Saccharomyces cerevisiae S288C: one gene and its partners. The gene in region 3 interacts genetically with the main gene of each other region. Each region holds a gene or a part of one and is shown on either strand. Other genes may lie near its edges. The genes, in order: FAB1, CDC9 and VAM3.

Region 1 (3,758 bases), on a different chromosome or scaffold from region 3:
CTTGCGCTGTTACCATTGCTGTTGTTGTCAAGGTACGAGTTTTTGAAAATGGGTCTGTTGCCAGCACGAGAACAGATCGGTGTATGGGAGATGGAGTCACCCATATCCACGCCAGCGTGGCTCAGGTCAGAGTCGTTAGTGGTCCTGTATTGCATATTGTGGATAGTATTCTGGAAATCCATGGGTCCGCTACTCCTACGTTCGGCTCCCGGGGCGTGCTCCCCGATACTGCTTTCGCGTTCCCGGGCTTGTTCCCTGGAATTTAGTGCGTCCATATAATTGGTAGACCGCCGTCTAATCATGGGGACTGGCTTGTCTACGCTTTGAGCGGGAGCGCTTGGACCCGGGAGGTTGAATGTAGAAACACTAGGTGTTTCCTGTGCACAGGGCGGTTCGTCGATGTTGAGGAAGTCCTGTGATCTTTCAAATGTGGGTGACGTGCTCACTTGGGGCGTGTTCAAGTGGGGATCTGTCATGAGGGTGAGTGTATGCGTGTGTGTGTGTGTTGCGTAGATGTGTGATTTACTATGTGTTATGTAGCTGCTCTCATCGCTGCTGATAGTAGATCTCTCGCGCAAAAATTACTCAGGCAAACCTTTACTATACCTACATATATATATATATATATGTATATGTATGTGTGCAAGCTTTTCAGAGTGGTGCACTGACATTGACCGGGCCACTCATTCCACCCCACATCCCCCAGATCAGGGGGAGATGTTAACGAAAGGAAACAGGGGATTTATCACTGGTTACGGGAGCGTAGTGACTGTACTACAAATTCGCACACAAGCAGCGCCCAGTGACGAGTCTCCGCGGCGTCTAAGTGCCGGAAGTCATCATCCACGGTGTGCCATGTACTTGGGAATGGTAGCGGGATTGCATGTAATACGGGTACTCCGGCGGCCAGGAATGGCGTGTGGTCGTCTCCGATGACCGAATGCCCGAGCCCTAAAAATCGATAGTCCGTGGGGTCCAGATGTTTGCGTTGACGCGCGACTTCGGCGGCTAATGCCGATTCGCCGTTGATTTCATCTCCACGTCGAAATAACAAGTCATCCTCTATTCGATTGAGCAGCTGATATTCTTGATGTGTCTCTGCATAGTAGCTGGGCACTAGCGGCTCCTCTTCGCCACTTCCTAAAAGATCCAGAAGAAATAATAGGCGAATTCTTGTCATCGTGCCGTCAGCAAGCCATTGGGCGGCTAATCGGCGTGCTCCATAAATCGAGTCCTCGGGGCCCCACTCTTCAATGGCCTCCTCTCCATCAAAGAATACGATCTTTACACCCAAGGTAGAATTCGATACTACAGTGTTCGACTCTAAGTCATTGTACTCTTTCGTGCGCTCGTGGCACGCGATGTGCGTTAGGAACTGGGCCGTATATAGCAGCGCGGCACACGAGGCGGCACTGTCGATAGCGCCCACCATCCCCGTGGGCGCTATCTTGGTATCATAATGAGCAGCGAGCACTAAGTACTCGCTCGCATTGTTTTGTAATGTCATAACAAGGTTATTGAAGCGGTAACCGTTCTCCTCAAAGGCTTGCGTCTCAACGGCCCATTCTCCCGCCAGCGTATTGTTGAAGTGCTCGATGATGAAGCGCTGGATCTCGCGCGAGCCTTCCGATCCGGGTACGCGCGTTCTGTTAAAAGGCAACAGCAGGTTCTTGGTACTTTTGTTCCAACCGCTGTCTGGGTTGATAGCTTCGTTCAGATGCGCTGCATGGTACTGCTCATATGACAACTCCCACCCAGTTACCCTATGCACCTGAAATAGCACCAACAGGTACGCTAGACCAATTAGTCGCAAAGGCAATACGTACTTCATTCCCATGCTTACGACCTTTTCAGTCTTTTTATTTCTTTTCTGTTGACTCTCTCTAACTCTCCCTCTCCCCCTCTTCTTCCCATGAAATGTATCACAAGCCGTCTTATTCCTTTGCTTCTTATATTCTTATGTTCCTTCCTTCGTCTCGCCTCGAAGGCAACGCAAACGCAATGTACTTCTTGACGAACGCGAAAACCATATGGAAAGTAAATAAAGGGCCAAACAAAAAACTATTTCGAATAGCAAGGTAGCTTCCATCCTGTACATGCAAGACCGTCACACAGCATGTCATCGGAAGAACCCCATGCATCTATATCCTTTCCAGATGGCTCACATGTCCGGTCGTCCTCCACTGGTACTTCATCTGTGAACACAATCGATGCTACCTTATCCAGACCGAACTATATTAAGAAACCGTCCCTGCACATTATGTCGACATCTACGACGTCGACTACGACGGATCTAGTGACAAACCCAATTCTGAGCAATATCTCCGTGCCAAAAATAAGCCCCCCCACATCATCCTCGATAGCAACAGCGACATCAACAAGTCACGTGACCGGCACTGCGTCGCATTCGAACATTAAAGCTAATGCTAACACTAGTACCAGCGTGAATAAGAAAAATTTGCCGCCAACAACTAGTGGGAGGATACCCTCTAGCACCATCAAGAGATATCCGAGTCGCTATAAGCCTTCTCACTCGCTGCAGCTGCCCATTAAGAACGACTCCAACTTTAAACGATCTAGCATATATGCCTCCAAATCCACTGTTACTGCTATCCCCATTAGGAACAATCGGCCAATTTCCATGCAGAATTCCTATGCGCGCACTCCTGACAGCGATCATGACGACGTTGGCGATGAAGTGTCTTCGATAAAGAGTGCCTCTTCTTCGTTGACCGCATCCCTGTCCAAGAGTTTCCTGTTCGCATTTTATAACAACCGCAAGAAGGACAAGACCAGTAACAATGGTGTCCTCTCAAAGGAATATTGGATGAAGGACGAGAGTTCTAAAGAATGTTTCAGTTGTGGTAAAACGTTTAACACTTTCAGAAGGAAACACCACTGCAGGATATGCGGCCAAATTTTTTGCAGCAGTTGCACTCTCTTGATAGATGGTGATCGATTCGGCTGTCATGCCAAGATGCGAGTATGTTACAATTGTTATGAGCATGCAGACACATACGAGGACTCCAGTGATGAAGAGAATGATTCTACAATGCAATTGAATGAGCCAAGGTCTCGCTCTCGCTCTCGTTCTTCCAATACCAATCCATATTCTCATTCACATTCGCATTTGCATCTCATTTCACAGGACAACCATAACGGTACCGATCTCCATGATCCAGTAGCAGCAACGGATAACCCTCAACAGCAGAATGAGGTCTACCTATTAAATGACGATGACGTACAAAGTATAATGACCTCAGGTGAAGATTCTAAATTGTTCATTTCTACACCCCCACCACCACCGAAGATGGCCATCCCAGCAACAAAGCAAGGCGGATCGCTGGAAATCTCATTCGATTCGGAAAACGATAGGGCTTTGCATTATCAAGATGACAACCCCGGTCGCCATCATCACCTCGATTCCGTGCCCACAAGGTACACTATCAGAGATATGGACAATATATCACATTACGATACCAACTCTAATTCCACTTTGAGGCCACATTATAACACCAATAACAGCACTATTACCATCAACAACCTCAACAACACTACTTCCAACAACAGCAACTATAACAATACCAATAGCAACAGCAACATCAATAATCCTGCGCATTCCTTAAGAAGGTCTATTTTCCATTATGTAAGCAGCAATAGTGTTAACAAGGACAGTAACAATAGCTCTGCAACACCCGCTTCGTCTGCACAGTCTTCTTCCATACTGGATCCTGCCAATCGTATTATCGGGAATTATG
Region 2 (3,758 bases), on a different chromosome or scaffold from region 3:
CATAAATCAATTAGAGTATATCCCCGGTTATTTGAGCCATTATTTTGAGACTGCTGTTGAGACTGGTTACCAAAGCCATAGCCTGTTTGTGTTGGTACGACGCTAGTGCTTGGTAAACCTGTATACTGACTGTTCAAAAACGGATTGTGGTTTGGATCATCCGATACTTGCCTATATCCTGTTCCTTGAGAATTGATGAATGTTCCTGTCTTCGTATGTTGGGCAGGAATACGAGCCTCCCCTACATTTCCGAATGTATCAATACCTGTTCCTGTGGCTAGTAGCTCGTTTAGTTTACTATACTTGTCTGTCATTGATTGATTGCCTGTCCTGTTTTGAATCAATGGCTCTTGTTGTTTTTGTTGTTGCAGTTGCTGTGGAGAAGAAGCTGCTACTAGTTGGTTCCGTTTTGGTGAACTTGAGCTCTGTTCTGATTTGGCAAATGGATTGTTGGACATTGCCTGTTGCTGCTGTTGCATAGAAGCTAAGTACTGTTGTTCCTGTAGTTGTTGTTGTTGTTGAAACTGTGCTAGTTCTTCGGGTGTTATAGGATTCCCGAATACATCGTAGTACATTGGTTGTTGTTGCAACTGTTGTTGTTGCTGTTGTTGCTGTTGTTGCAATTGAAATTGTGCGTATTCCTCAGGAGTGATTGGGTTACCAAAAATATCATAATACATAGGTTGTTGCAATTGTTGTTGGCCTTGCTGTTGTTGCATTCTTTGTAAATCTTGCAATCTTTTTAGCTCCTCTTCTTCTTTGCTCAACTGCAAAGCTGTTTCATAATCCTCGTCCTGTTTTCTTCTTCTTTCGTCTTCTTCCGCCGTCAACCTGCTAGCACTAATGGCTCTTTGCAAATCATCGTCATTTTCATCACTGCGCCCAGTTCCCCTTCTTCTTCTTCCTTTCCTGTTTCTTCCCTTGATATTCATGTTCCTTTCCTCGTTCAGTCTTTCGTCATCAGATAGTAATGCAGTCAATTCTTTTGCTTTGACCCTAACGATTTGACCTTGATCTATGCCCTCATCGTCCTCGTGCCTGAACTCCTTCAATGTCTTGATGATGTATAAATTTTCTCTACACCAAAGAACACAATTCTCACTACCAAACCTGATCAAGTAATCTATTACTGTCAATGCCTTTGCGATATGCCTCCAGTATTTGCCCTTGTCGTTAAGTCTTTTGTCCAGCATATCCATGATTTCGAAGAAATCTGCGCTATCATATGATTTTTCAGCCAGCTCAATTAACGAGTCCTTGGACACTTGATGATTGTCGTTTGACGTTGCATTTCTTACCAGGACCTGGGTAGAAGAGTACCCTTTCACCAAATTCTTCGCAGATCTAACAAATTGTTTCGACATGATTGTTCTGCCTCTTGCTCCCTTTCCTTCTGATCCTGGCACTCATACGAACGGCTCTTTCTTCTACTTCTTAAAACTCCTATTTGTCATTGAAAGAAACTTTCATCATTACCCGGATGATTCTCTATACGTAGCCACAATTTCAGACAACCATACTTCCAAAATCAAGTACTTTGAACAACATAAGGCCCCACCAACCTTCCGTAAGACTTGCAATAGGAATTCGTACTGCAGCCGCTGGTTCTATTGCTGTTTAACTCTGTCATCTTTTTGCTCGCTTCGATGTGTTCCTCCACTTGAGATGGCTGATGGAATTTTTCACCTTAACGCGAAAACGCGTGAAAGTGAAATTTAGCTGCAATAAGCCATGCGTTTGCATCTCGCTGTACTTTGTTCAAAAATAAAAGTAATGATTTTGGAGGTTTAGAGCAGCTTTTAACGTCATTGTTCATCAATTACATGCGCAGATTACTGACCGGTTGCCTTCTTTCATCTGCACGTCCCTTGAAATCAAGATTGCCATTATTGATGTCATCCTCATTACCTTCCTCTGCCGGTAAGAAGCCTAAACAAGCCACTTTGGCTAGATTCTTCACTTCCATGAAAAATAAGCCAACAGAAGGTACTCCTTCTCCCAAAAAATCATCCAAACATATGCTGGAAGATAGAATGGATAATGTTAGTGGGGAAGAGGAATACGCGACCAAGAAATTGAAACAGACGGCTGTTACACATACTGTAGCAGCTCCAAGCTCCATGGGTAGCAATTTTTCTTCTATACCATCATCCGCTCCCTCTTCCGGTGTTGCTGATTCACCGCAACAATCTCAGAGGTTGGTAGGTGAAGTTGAAGACGCCTTGAGCTCAAATAATAATGATCACTATTCGTCTAATATCCCCTATTCTGAAGTTTGTGAGGTTTTTAACAAGATTGAGGCCATATCTTCCCGTTTAGAGATTATAAGAATCTGTTCTGATTTCTTTATTAAGATAATGAAGCAATCGTCTAAGAACTTAATACCTACAACATACCTTTTCATCAATAGATTGGGCCCTGACTACGAAGCAGGCTTGGAATTAGGCCTTGGAGAAAATCTTCTTATGAAAACCATAAGCGAAACTTGCGGGAAATCCATGAGCCAAATTAAACTTAAATACAAGGATATTGGGGATTTGGGTGAAATAGCAATGGGTGCGAGAAATGTCCAACCCACTATGTTTAAGCCCAAACCCTTGACCGTGGGTGAGGTCTTCAAAAATCTTAGAGCTATTGCTAAGACTCAGGGCAAAGATTCACAATTAAAAAAGATGAAGCTGATCAAGAGAATGCTTACTGCTTGCAAAGGTATAGAGGCTAAGTTTTTGATTAGATCCCTAGAGTCAAAATTGAGAATCGGTCTTGCTGAAAAGACTGTCTTAATATCCCTATCGAAGGCTCTTTTGCTCCATGATGAAAATAGGGAGGACTCTCCAGACAAAGATGTCCCCATGGATGTGTTAGAAAGTGCTCAACAAAAGATAAGAGACGCATTTTGTCAAGTACCCAACTATGAAATTGTTATAAACTCATGCCTGGAACACGGTATTATGAATTTAGATAAATATTGTACTCTAAGACCAGGAATTCCATTGAAACCCATGTTAGCCAAGCCTACCAAGGCAATTAATGAAGTATTGGATAGATTTCAAGGCGAAACTTTTACGTCAGAATACAAATACGATGGTGAAAGGGCTCAGGTGCATTTACTAAATGATGGTACAATGAGGATTTATTCCAGAAATGGCGAGAATATGACTGAGAGATATCCAGAAATTAACATAACGGATTTTATCCAGGATTTGGATACTACCAAAAATTTAATTCTAGACTGTGAGGCTGTTGCTTGGGACAAAGATCAGGGGAAAATTTTGCCTTTCCAGGTCTTAAGTACAAGGAAACGTAAAGACGTGGAGCTGAATGATGTTAAAGTTAAAGTCTGTCTCTTTGCATTTGATATACTTTGCTACAACGATGAAAGGCTGATTAATAAGTCACTAAAGGAAAGAAGAGAATACTTGACGAAGGTTACAAAAGTTGTCCCGGGAGAATTCCAATACGCGACTCAGATAACAACAAATAACCTTGATGAACTTCAAAAATTCCTTGATGAGTCCGTTAATCACTCATGCGAAGGTTTGATGGTCAAAATGTTGGAGGGCCCTGAATCCCATTATGAACCAAGTAAAAGGTCAAGAAACTGGTTGAAATTAAAAAAAGATTACTTGGAGGGGGTTGGAGATTCATTGGATCTCTGCGTGTTGGGGGCATATTATGGTAGAGGAAAAAGAACTGGTACGTACGGTGGGTTCCTTCTAGGATGTTACAACCAAGACACAGGAGAATTTGAAACTTGT
Region 3 (3,194 bases):
AATAACGTACACATCGAGGTAATTATGCATGATTTCTTTTTTTGCCGAGAAATTCTGCCATTTTTATTAATCCACGCTCTGTCCTTATCTTAGTGACAGGCAAGGATGTTCTGCAAAAGCGAAAATTGAAATAAGATAAATACTTCCGAGCCAGACACGTTCTTATGTTTATCAGGGCCCACAAGGTTCATTTAGAAGACAACGCATACAATGTTTTGTTTCTTGATAACGGTTGGCGGCCGTTAAGCAACAGTAAGGCAAATGACAGTTAACGGAAAATAACAGGGTTCTTACTTTTTACATACAGTAGCACAATCCTTTTTTTATTGGCAGTCGCTAGTAGAAATTCGTGGGGATTTACGGACTACTGAAAAAAGGTCAGTGTAGATCGTACAAAGTAGAAAAAGGAAAAAGGGCATATCGAGCCCTTGCATTTAAACTACGGAGTACAAAAAACACAGGTTGCGCACATGGGAAGTGCACTATCACTAGACATCAAAGGAAATTTTGAGTCAAAAAGAGCGGCTAAGAAACCCCCCTACCACAAAAGAATAAATGCAAAAAATAACTTATACACTCTTATACACTCTTGTTTTCGTAAATAGATAAGATTGGGTCTACCAGAAAGTCTGTGCTCAATGCGCGTTTAAGGAGATTACTAACTTAATACAGCAAGCAATACCACCATGCACACAACTATTATAATGATTAGGGTGACCTTACCGCATTTGTTACGGTCCCTCTGATGCTGGTCTGCTCTGGTTAATTGTTTGTTTGCATTCTGCATGTTATCATGTAAATGCGAGATATTCTCGTCTATGGTGGTTACTTGTTCTCCCTGTTCTTTCACTAATGAACCGAGCTGATGGAAAATAGCATTGACTTCTTGTACCGCCGTATGAATGCGTCCTATCTGTTGGGATCTTTCCTGGTGAATGATTGTTTGAAAATCTAGTTCTTCTTGGGACAATCCTTGCTGTTGTTGTTCTTGTTCTTCTTGCAGCTGTAATTGGTGTTGTCCTTCGTTATGCAGTAAAGGACTCTGCTCGTTTACTTTTATAGAAATATAACTAGACTCTGGATCTTGTCGCACGGCTTCAGTTCGCGGATGGATGTCTTTTCTTTCCTTAGATGTTCCTGGTGAAATAGGCGTTTTTAGAGGGAACAGACTCTTCCTTTGATTGTATGATTGTTGTAGGGATTGATACTTCGTTTTCAGGTTCTTGAAATCAGCAGACAACTTTCCATTTTGGTGAATGAGGATGTTGCTCTCAATTTTATCCCTTACACTGGTGCAGTTCGGTATTAACTCTGTTTCAATTTTGTATCTTAGTTCTTTGGAGTCCCGTTTGGAACCAATTTTGGTGCATTCCTTTTCCAGCACGCGGGATTGTTCAGCGAATGTCTCAATTAAATTGCTTAATTCCTTCGTTTTTTGATTTGTTGAGAATTGTGGTTCTTGCTGGGAGTTACCCTTTGAAGATTGTGCTTCGATGTCGAAAAAGGACATAATCTCAACTTTCTGCAGTGGATATTAGTTGGCCAATTTGTTAATGCTGATCCCGTGGTTTTTTATTGTTCTATTTTCCTTCCTTTAATCTCCTGGCTGCTTTCTTTACATCAAAATCAAAATTCACTACAAAAATGTATATAGAGTTTTTACTGCGCATCTCGCGAAAAAAAAAGTTGTGATGTGAAACTCGAATATGAGGCTGAACGAATATTATCATTTGATTATAATAAGTATTGACTTGTATGATCTTAGTTTTGCTCTTCCTGTGTCCTCGTCAGCACCTAGGTAAACTATATGTTACAAATAGATCACTTTTATCCTGAGGAAAACAACCTAATTTATTGTACATACTAACTGACCAAGAGGAAGTTCACCATTGACTGCCCTTATTTGCATTTTAAAAGTTGCGGTTTCTGGTGTTACCTGTTAGAAGGCACCTTTTTAGCAACCGGTACAAGGAAAAACTCGTTGGAAGATTTTTTTTTACTTTCCTTTCCGTAAACGCAAGCTCACAGTTATTCCTGAAGAAATTCCTAATTGGTTCTTGCAAAATCTACCAATGAATCCTCTTGATCTTAAAATGTCTGACTGATTATTCAAAAGAAGGGGGAATATATATTTACCTCATTAGTAATATCTATCGCTTTGGTTTGGTTTATATCCCTGATATGATTGATAATTTTCGGTTGGATATGGACTTCTATGATTAGAGGAGGGAGTATTGTAACTGTTTCCCTGGAGGTTATTATTGATGTTATTATTATCGTAATAATAGTTCTCGCCATAATCGCTGATGTCAAAAATTGGAGATTGTGAAGCAACATGAGCGTTGTTGCTACCAGTATTGGCCGCATTTTGGATAAACGAATTTCTAGCATCATATTGCGGCTGAGGGCTGCTACCTTCGAAATTTTCTTCTTCATACACTAGAGGGGCCACCCTACTAGGGCTGCGTCCTTCTTTATTTCTTTCCTTCTGTTGTTTTTTCCTTGTTTTCTCTTTTTGTTTTTCCAAATCGAAATCTTCCTCTAATTCATACACCTCATTACTGGGAGTTTTGACTTCGTCGTAAAATGTATCATTCTTCGCATCGTTTCTATAATACGCACTTTCAGGTTGTTGAATAGGCTGATAAATCACAGTAGAAGGAGGAGCCACGCCCATATTAACTCTACTAAAACCCTCATTTACCGGCATTGTATTGTTTCCATTTCTGTCATTAGAACAACGACAACACCAACAAATGAACTGACCTATTCCTGTTACCCCTTGCCTGAAACATGTCAGTAAGCCCCCAATCAACCAAATCACAAGAATACAGGCCAAAACAATACCAACAATCGCAATAATTTTACATGCTTTATTGTCCATGCAGGTGTCCCAGCTTCGGAAACTTTTTCCTGTACTTACTACACCATCTGTAAAGGACGATCTCGGAAATAGTGGTACTATTTCTTTCAACTTGCAAACGTTCATTACTGTGTATACGCTTGGGAGTCTTTGATTATATTTCTAGTATTTTCTTGAAACGGTTATTTTGCTAAAAATAAACAAGATAAAAAAAATCTAAAAAGTCACGACCGGGGGTGGTTATTCTTGATCTAAGTAGCAAATATGTAATATATTTGAAACTTTCTTGCGCCCCTTTAATTTTGAAGTTCTTCTAGGCTTTTATCCAGTT

The links.
Region 1: mutations in VAM3 (region 3) and FAB1 together harm fitness less than expected from each alone (positive genetic interaction), as found in Saccharomyces cerevisiae (2 studies listed by BioGRID).
Region 2: mutations in VAM3 (region 3) and CDC9 together harm fitness more than expected from each alone (negative genetic interaction), as found in Saccharomyces cerevisiae (2 studies listed by BioGRID).

Annotation. Positions count from the first base shown.
Region 1 is NC_001138.5:182,386-186,143, forward strand, and holds the start of FAB1 (1-phosphatidylinositol-3-phosphate 5-kinase), read left to right. Parts: upstream 1-2,116; coding exon 2,117-3,758. Other genes in the region: IGD1 (Igd1p), read right to left, coding at 1-476; YFR018C (uncharacterized protein), read right to left, coding at 746-1,837. UniProt on the Saccharomyces cerevisiae protein: The PI(3,5)P2 regulatory complex regulates both the synthesis and turnover of phosphatidylinositol 3,5-bisphosphate (PtdIns(3,5)P2).
Region 2 is NC_001136.10:165,320-169,077, reverse strand, and holds the start of CDC9 (DNA ligase (ATP) CDC9), read left to right. Parts: upstream 1-1,823; coding exon 1,824-3,758. Other genes in the region: ENT1 (epsin), read right to left, coding at 1-1,364. UniProt on the Saccharomyces cerevisiae protein: DNA ligase that seals nicks in double-stranded DNA during DNA replication, DNA recombination and DNA repair. The mitochondrial form is required for mitochondrial DNA maintenance but is non-essential while the nuclear form is essential for cell viability.
Region 3 is NC_001147.6:517,437-520,630, reverse strand, and holds VAM3 (SNAP receptor VAM3), read right to left. Parts: upstream 1,511-3,194; coding exon 659-1,510; downstream 1-658. Other genes in the region: YOR105W (uncharacterized protein), read right to left, coding at 2,110-2,436; PIN2 (Pin2p), read right to left, coding at 2,141-2,989. UniProt on the Saccharomyces cerevisiae protein: Required for vacuolar assembly. Provides the t-SNARE function in a late step of the vacuolar assembly. Required for homotypic vacuole membrane fusion, autophagy and fusion of biosynthetic transport vesicles with the vacuole.